Linked DNA regions of Tribolium castaneum. The protein of the gene in region 1 interacts with the protein of each later gene in a pairwise test. Links are inferred from orthologs where the notes say so. Each region holds a gene or a part of one and is shown on either strand. Other genes may lie near its edges.

What was found.
Region 2: the proteins of 43 kDa receptor-associated protein of the synapse homolog (region 1) and guanine nucleotide exchange factor for Rab-3A interact in a two-hybrid assay, tested with the Caenorhabditis elegans proteins (2 studies listed by BioGRID). The link is inferred for Tribolium castaneum from reciprocal best matches to the Caenorhabditis elegans genes rpy-1 and rabi-1.

What each region holds. Positions count from the first base shown.
Region 1 is NC_087401.1:7,884,083-7,888,578, forward strand, and holds the start of 43 kDa receptor-associated protein of the synapse homolog, read left to right. Parts: upstream 1-1,608; 5' UTR 1,609-1,770; coding exon 1,771-1,811; intron 1,812-4,496.
Region 2 is NC_087402.1:3,494,731-3,499,081, forward strand, and holds the start of guanine nucleotide exchange factor for Rab-3A, read left to right. Parts: upstream 1-1,483; 5' UTR 1,484-1,629; intron 1,630-1,661; exon of another isoform or gene 1,662-1,806; coding exon of another isoform or gene 1,807-1,935; intron 1,936-1,980; coding exon of another isoform or gene 1,981-2,170; intron 2,171-2,215; coding exon of another isoform or gene 2,216-2,964; intron 2,965-3,011; coding exon of another isoform or gene 3,012-3,176; exon of another isoform or gene 3,177-3,233; intron 3,234-3,353; exon of another isoform or gene 3,354-3,499; intron 3,500-4,351. Other genes in the region: Oseg6 (WD repeat-containing protein 19), read right to left, coding at 43-329, 381-858, 907-1,061, 1,150-1,164; lipase 3, read left to right, coding at 1,807-1,935, 1,981-2,170, 2,216-2,964, 3,012-3,176.

The DNA.
Region 1 (4,496 bases):
AATAGTGTTTATAATTTAGGATTTAGATATTAAAAAGAAGGCTTAAAATATTACCTGCAAAAAAATAAAATTTTGACTCTGAAACCAGATATTTCAAATTTTTAAACTCAAATGTTTAATACCAACTAAATATTTTATATTTTAAATGTGAACTTTAACTTAAGTAATAAAAACTTGAAATTTTTGTTTTTTATTTATAAATTTAAGTGCCAATACTAATTAGATAACTAAAATTTTATTTGTAAATGTATATTTGATAAAAGAAGTTGGAATTATAAATTTTGAATATAAAATTTTGACTTTGTGACTTGAAATTCGCACTTTGTTACACGAAAAAAAAAATAAATTTTGAAATAGACAAAAATTACAGCAAAAGTTTTCTGGTTTTAGGAATTGAAATTCCGAATTTTGTGTTAAATATTTGCTAGAAATTTTAATATATTTCAAGTGTCTCTAAACCTAAACTTGGAATTTTAACTTGAATTTCCTCAAAATCAAAAATTAACTTCTTTTTTGACTAATTTCTATTCCAAATTTTGTCTTGAACTTTGCGAAAACTTCTGAGAAATTTTGATAAACTCTGACAGTGTCACTTAAAAGTTAATAACCATTTGATCTTAATATTGAACCAAATGCTCGAGAGGCGGTTACCACGTCATAATTTCAAATTTAAATCCAAATAACTTGAGTTAGAAAGCAGATACAGAGAAACGGTTTTCACTATTGTAATAAGCGTTTTCAGTACTATCATTTAAGGCAAAGTTGTTTTAAGTTGCCAATGCCTTTAAATTTTTATTTTTAAAATTTTAAATCTGGGGTTCTGAAATTTGAATTTCTAATTAGGATATAAAAATTCTAGTCGATATCTACGTGAATATTTGACAAAAAATTTCAAAACCGTAAGATATCCAAAGTTTTATGTCTAAAAATACTAAAAATTTTAGCTTTCTGCATTGAAATTTGAAGTTTTACCATTGTATTGAAAAACTATTTTTTTTAATTGTAACTTTGATGTTCGGAATTCAGTTTTAAAAGGCAGAATTCTAACTTAGAATTTGTGAATTTTGAATTTTCATAAAAACTTTAAAAAAGTTTGAATTCTAACTTTGTGTCTAGAAATTTCGACTGTCTGAAGTTAAATAAATCGTAGTCCTGATTAATAAATTTGTAAATGTAAATAAAATGTAAAAAATGCATTTTTTCGCTTTGTTCGTGCTTGAAAATTCGATTGTGAAACTGAAATTTTCTTTAACAAATTTCAAGACCGTTCGGCACGCAATAAATCCTTCCCGCCCTTTCGATTTATAATCCTGAAACACCTGAAAAATCCCCGAACAATATCTTTTATCGCTCTTCAAACAGCAATCATCAATCACTGAAACTAATGCGAACACGTGGCGACATCCGGAACTTTAGGAATTCTCCACCTATTTTAAATCCACTGCTAGAATTATTAATGAGACAAAAATTCAATTTTTTTTGTCAAGGCAGTCGTAACAAATCGATCGGGTCACATCCTGAATTAAATCCTGCAGGATCCCGAAGCGATCCGACCTGGTCCTGGCCGCTTATCCTGTCCGACTTCCTCCGACATCCTCCGAAATAATGATCTGGTTGTGCTTCAGTCGGGGATGCTGGATGGTGGTCGAAGGGGTGTGTTTTGACGTCGTGTACATATTGAGAAAAAAACTCGATTTTTACGTTTTTTTCGTTCACAAAATCGGCCTATTTTTGCAAAATGCGCTTAAACAAATTTAGTGGTTGAACAGGATGTCGTGGGAATCGCTCAACTCGCACGACTTCACCAGGTAGTGGTATTTTGGCAATTACGCCCCTATTTGTACACAAATTCAAGCAGCTTTCTTGCGCAAATTTCTTTACTCTATTTCAAGAATTTGCCGATTGGATAACGTCGGTGAATTATTTCGGAAACAGCTGTTCTAGTTTTTCGATTTTTTTAAACAGTGGCGGCTCGCTAGGTAAAGTAATATTAATAAACTGTAACAAGCACTTAACATGTTTAAATCCTTAATTTTTTTGTTTCGTTACTTTCTAAGAGACGTCTCAAAGTAAAGTCAGTTTGTATCTGAATTACAAGCAAAGTTTGCAAACTAAGGGACTTTTCAACTAAAAATAAAATAAATTGCAACATATTTGATAATTTTTTGGCGTCTTACACGAAATTTTACGAAGGAAGTTTTTTTCTCAAAATATGAGTTACATCACTTTGTAAATACACTGTGTTTTTAAATGGTTCTTATCTAGTCGTCTGTGAAATTCTTATGTAAAATCAGAAAATGCCGCTTCATATAATTAAGGATAGGCATTTAGACATCGAATATTACCATTTTCCATTTACAAGTCTCCAATTCGAAAATAAGCTTCGATAATAAAAGTGTAACATTTTAAAGAAATTTTTAAAAGAAATTAATAAAATTTTACAACTGATAGATTTGACATCTATTAACAGAGGGTTCAATTAAGCAGAGCGGCACAAATTTTTTTTTACATCTAAACCAATTAACCAAGTTAACTAGATGAGAATCATTTAAAAACACATTGTATAGGTTCGAGAAAATTTACTTTTGATTTATTTTGGCCATTTTTGGCAAAATTTTGGACGGAAATGGTGTTATAGCATTTTCAACCTTCTCTTTGTGGTTTTGTTTTTATTTTAGCTAAATAAGTGAATTTTTGTCTGAAAGACGTGGTAACATTTATTTTCAAAAAAGGAAATCGTTTAATGTTATTTTTCACAGTTATTATTGATTAGTACTGATGGTAATTTCTCGACTTATGTGACTAAAAAATGGGAGTTGTTGAATGAAAAATATGTAAAAGCATTTGAACCAGGCAAATATACAGTGTATCCGTTTTTCGAGCTCTACCATGGGGATCACAGTTATTATAAGAGTACAAGGTTAGTTAAATTAGGGCAAAAATGCGCATTTATATGCTGAACAATTATCTCAAAGAATATTTGATGAGTTATTTTTAGTTTTTGAATTATTGATAAAAGTCAAAATTTTGCAATTTTCGTGTTTATTGTTTGACGCGAAAATTGAAAGAACTAGACATTTTTAAGTAGGACATTTTTCAGGAACTTGGTTACTACAAATCTAAATCTGTCATTATATTTTCCAAGGCGTTCTTGATGTCAGAGTTACAACACTCAACTTTAGTTTTTGTTATGGACACCATATTTGACACTTGTATTTTTGAATAGGCTTTTTCTTCCTTCTTCCTGATTACAACATGATATGGTCTAATCTTACATGTTAATTAAAATTAAGAAAAAAGCGTTTTTTGCACATCGTTGTAATCAGGAACAAATAAAACACTTTTTAAAAATACAATTATCAAATATAGCGTTTATAAGAAAAACCAGAGTTGAACCTTTGATATCAAGAACGCCTTGGAAAATATGATGATAGATTTAGATTTCTTGTAAAAAAGTGCCTGAAGAACGTCCTAGTTAAAAACGTCTGGTCTTTTGGTTTTCGCTTGCAAAAATGAAAACAAAAATTACAAATTTTCGTGTTTTTTTTTAATAATCTAAAAACTAAAAATGATACATCAAATTTTCTTGCAGATAATTGTTCAGCATGATAATGCACAACGTTGCCCTAATTTAACCGACCTTGTTTGTCTTATAATAACGGAGATCTCTATGGTTTGAAAAACGGATATTTAGATGTCCCAATATTAAAAAAAACACTAACGTTACGTTTTTCCAAATGGAACACCCGATATTTTATTGCATTTTGGATGTAGCTTTTAATACTGATGATTTTAATTTAAACTTGTATTGGTCGATTCTGCTTAGATTTCGAAATAATTTGATGTTTTTTGCCAAAAACACGTTTTATTTAAAAATTTATTACATAAAAACAAAGAATTCTATTAAAGTAGAACTTTGATCACTTTAAAGGGAAAAGTTCAAACTTAAATCTGTTCCAATTAGTTTAGCGCATTACAATTTATTGGAAACAGAAAAATTAAGAAGTTTGTTAAAAGTTGAATAACTTGAAAAGGTTAAATGGAACACCCTATTTTTTGTTCTTGCTTTTCAAAGATTATTAAATTATCTATCAAAAAACATAAAGTTTTAAATGTCTAAAGTTAATAACTAAAGATATGTCACTTTAAAAGTTATTTCTAGCAACAATGCAGACTATTCATGAACATTGTTGTAACCATAGCAACTCCAGCACAGACCATTTGTTGGAGTTTATACGGGAATTTAAAAATTTGCCATAGATATTAAAATTTTAGTTATTTCATTGTAATAAATGATGAATAATAGAGTAACATTAAAGTTATTATTAGCAGAAAATTTCACTTTTCGACTACAAAAAAAATAATATATTCTTTAAGATTGAACTTTCTTCTTTAAAGTGGTGAAAGTTACTACAACTTTTCTGAGATTTTTAGTTTTTATATGTTTTTTCAGATAGCGTGCTTTTGTCAAAATATCAAATTATTTTAAAAACATA
Region 2 (4,351 bases), on another chromosome or scaffold:
AATCATAAAGTAGTGACCTGACCTGCCATGTTGGATTAATACTTGTTATCGCCACAAGATGCGGCTTTTCCGATTTTGTCGTTTATTGTAATATCAGTGAGGGTGTTTTTGTGATTCCGGACCTGGAATAACTCCTGGCCCACTTCCTTAATGTGGGTGGAGATGGCAATAAAATAACCGGCGTTGAAGCCGATTAAAATATAACCATCTCCGAACCACTTATACGTAACAATAGAGCCATAATGCTGCTGAAATGCTAATTCAATGGGATTGTCAGGGTCTAACAAATTGTAAAGATAGAGAGTGCGCTTTCCCACAATTACGCTGACCTGGAATTAACAATTAACGCGAAATAATCAGCGGAAACTTGAAAAAATTACAGTGTTTTCGCCCCCCATGCGCTCGTCGAGCTTCATTTCCGAAAAATTTATTTCAGACGGCTCTGCCCGCAAATTGATCACTCTGAGCGTATCCCCGTCTACATTACTGATAGAAATTGTTTTATCCTCAGACCCTAGTGCGAGCAAATTCTCCGTGTTCCAAGCCCCACACGTGATTTTTTTCGCGTGCTTGCCAATAACAGGAGTGCGTCTAGAACCGACAATTAAAAAAACAAACAACAAAAAAACAACTAACTTTGATGTGTTGTGATTATAAATAGATATGTTTCCTTTGACCGTCCCCACGGCCAGCATGGGGGCGGTCTTGGCCCAAATCACGCACGACATTTGGTCCTTCAATCTCACATCAATTTGAATCTTTTTCTGGGTGTTTGCATCCCACAGTGTGAGTTGAGGTGATTGGCAAATTACCGCCAAGAGATCACCGTCCGAGTCCCACCCAAAACCGGTGCACAGACTGCAATTTTGGGTTTAATTAAATGGAAAATTGAAAGGAATGGGGCACCTGGGCAAGCGGATACGGTCCTGGATTTGTCCATAACGGTCGAAAATATTGACCATACAGTCGATCCCAGTCGTTGCAAGATACATGCCAGAGCCATTTTGCCATGTCGTGTAAATATCACCGGTGCCATGGGGCTGTTCCAAGCGGAACAAGAGCTAGAAAGGGGTTGTTTGTATAGGTTATAAACGACCGGGAAAAATTGCAACATGCAGGAGTTGCTTTAGGGAAAAGGGGTGGAAATACCTTTTCGCTTCCCATTTTTTGAATAATCAATGCGTTTAATGTTTAAAACACGATACAAACATTGTTGTTATTGATGAAAAAGCATTTTGACATTCGACAGACGCCAAACACCCATATCGCCAACATGAGGATTCAAAATCTGGTTTTTTAATTTGACAAAAACTCAATTTTTGAGATTATTCCAGTGAAACTGAAACGATCCATCGACGTGCACAAGATAATTATATGTAATTGTAATTTAACTGCATTAATTTAAGTCTCTCTTACTGTATGATTTAAGTTGCATTTTGCTTTGAAGTAAATGCATCAAGTTACCGTGAAATCACCAAACAAAAATGGCGGCGCAAAATTCAAACCAAGTCACAATTGTGTTTTTAGTTTGTTTAAAAATAGATAAAGGTTTAACGAAAATTAGCTAATCACAACAAATAGAGTGATTTTCCCGACTTTGGACCTCACGTCAGTGATAGAGCGGCCTTGGTGAGTAAAAACCAATGAAATTACACTTCTGCATGACTCACGTGGGGCTATCGTTTTTAAATGCAGAATTATTTTAAACCATTGAAAAAACTCATTAGCTATTCAGTTTGGCAGACTTGAACCGTAAAACTGGTTCTGTTGCGTCCAAAGTTTAGGTTAATTGTCATCGTCTTTGCGATGCATCGATTTTTACTCCTCGTCCTATTTTTACCAATTTTTCGTTGTGAAAACGTTACAAACAGTGTCAAATGTTCGTTTGAAAACCTCTCGGCTTGTCCTTACAATCCGGACGCCGATTTAGATACAGTAAGTAGTAATCCCGTCATTTAACACCAATTAAAACGCCCGCAGCCCCAAATCGCCCGAAGACATGGCTATCCGGCCGAATCTCACTACGTCACAACGGAAGACGGCTACATCCTCACAATTCATCGCATCCCAGGGCCTAAGAGCGGCCAACGTGGGGGCCAACCTGTCTTTCTCCAACACGGGCTGCTTTCGAGTAGCGCCGATTGGATAACGGCAGGGAATAACTCCCTAGGTTCGTACTTTCAGATTTTTGATCCAAGAGTTACGGTTTCATAAGGTTTTATATTGGCCGATGCCGGGTATGACGTCTGGATGGGTAACGCTCGAGGTAACACTTACTCCAAAGCTCATGTTACTCTACCGATCGAAAGCCCCCAATATTGGAACTTTAGCTGGCACGAGATGGGAGTTTATGATCTCCCAGCTGCACTCTACTACGTCAGTAACACAACAAACAAACCGGGCGAAATAATCTACGTGGGGCACTCGATGGGGACCACAATGTTTTTCGTTTTGGCTTCAACTAAACCACAAGCCGCCAAAAACGTAAAACTGATGGTAGCCCTAGCACCGGTGGCTTATATGACGCATGTGAAGTCCCCAATTCGGTATTTGTCGCCCTTTGCTTACGATTTCGAATGGCTGGCGCGATATTTGGGTCTGAATCAATTTCTGCCCAACAGTAAAATAATGAAGTTTTTGGGGTACGATTGCGAGTTGTTGAAAATCGATAAGGAAATTTGCGAAGACGTTATTTTCACTTTGTGTGGTTTTGATAAAGAGGAGTTCAATGAGGAGCTCTTGCCGGTTGTTTTGAGTCATGATCCTGCAGGATCTTCCACCAAAACAGTCCTACATTACGCGCAGGAAATCAAATATGACGGAAAGTTCCAACAGTATGACTATGGGCCCAATGGTAATCAAATTAAATATGGGACTCTAACACCACCCCAGTATAAATTACTCAATATTAAAGTTAAGACGTATCTAATGTACGCACTTAATGATTTTCTAGCGAGTTATATTGTAAGTGCATTCGGTAATTTTTTTTTTGAGTAATGGTGTTTTTTCAGGACGTAATTAGGTTGTCTCAGAATTTAACAAACAACGTTGGGATGTATCAAGTACCATTACAAAGTTTTAATCACGTTGACTTTTTATTTGGCAAACACGCCGCCAAACTAGTCTATGAACCGCTCATGAAGGTGCTGCAGAATTACACCGAGGGCGTCTATTAATGGCCAGTGATTTCTTTTTTTTTATTATTATTATTGAATAAAGTTATACAATAGAAACATCGATATTTATTCTGCCCCAAAATCCCTTTTTTATCCAGTATTTTACGATATATTTAGACCGCGCGCCTGAATAGAACTCTGTAGCATAGCTTTAGTAAAAAAATAGAAGATGGCACTTGCTGTTTCAAATCGAAAGCTCGCCCAAGTCCTATCGGAATGTGTCAAACCGATCCAATCAGAATTCAGAGTATGCTCGTGTATAGGAGTGTGTAAACATAGCATTGTGTGTCCCTCGAGAAATTACTGTTTACTGACCTCCCCGGGTAAGTAAAAGCTTTCTCGTCACGTAATTGTCATGTAAACAAAGCGCCCAAATCAATTTACAGTCAACTTGGAGATTTTTCCTCGTTGTCGTGTCACTAAATAATGTAATCGCAACACAGCCGTCCGCATAATATTTATGTCTTGTCTCACATTTGATAAATAGATAAGAGAATCTCGTTTCCTGCTGCTCCGCATTCCACACGGATTAGAGCTCGGACTCCCACTTGTAAAAAAAAATCCGGCAGTGGTCATGACGCAAGCGCGCTGACCGTGGATGTTTGTGATTTTTGAATAATTTCACGTGAAAAAAATTGTACAATTCCGTCTTTTTTCATGGACCAAGGTTGAGAGAAACGTGTGTGTTTACCGATTGTTTGTATAGCGATAATAAGGAAATTTGATTTTCGGTGCGGTTGTTTAATAATGCGATTAGCGTCGCGACGGCGTGGGGGGATTAAGGGATTTGTAAGTCGGAATTGCAAATTTTTAGCTCCGGGTGGGTAAGAACAAAAGGTAATTTCATGGGAAAGTCGAATGTGTTTCCGGCCGTTTTAATTTTCTTTGTGTTTCTTTTGCTGATCGAGTGAAAGATAAGGCTTAAGAATTACATATCACTGTTATCAGTGATTTATTATTGTTTTTGAAGTGATTCACTTTTTGTTTTCATGTGCACATGGAAATTGTTATCGGGGAGGTCTTAAGGGCATCTGAATTTTATTTTGGTTTGTCGTGAACTGTACATAAATTAGAAATGTCAAGGTTTTCTTGTTGCAGCGTTTTATACAAATTCATAATTCCATGAATTATGAGAATATCAATTGTTTGAAAAGTGAAAGACGTGATTATGTCCG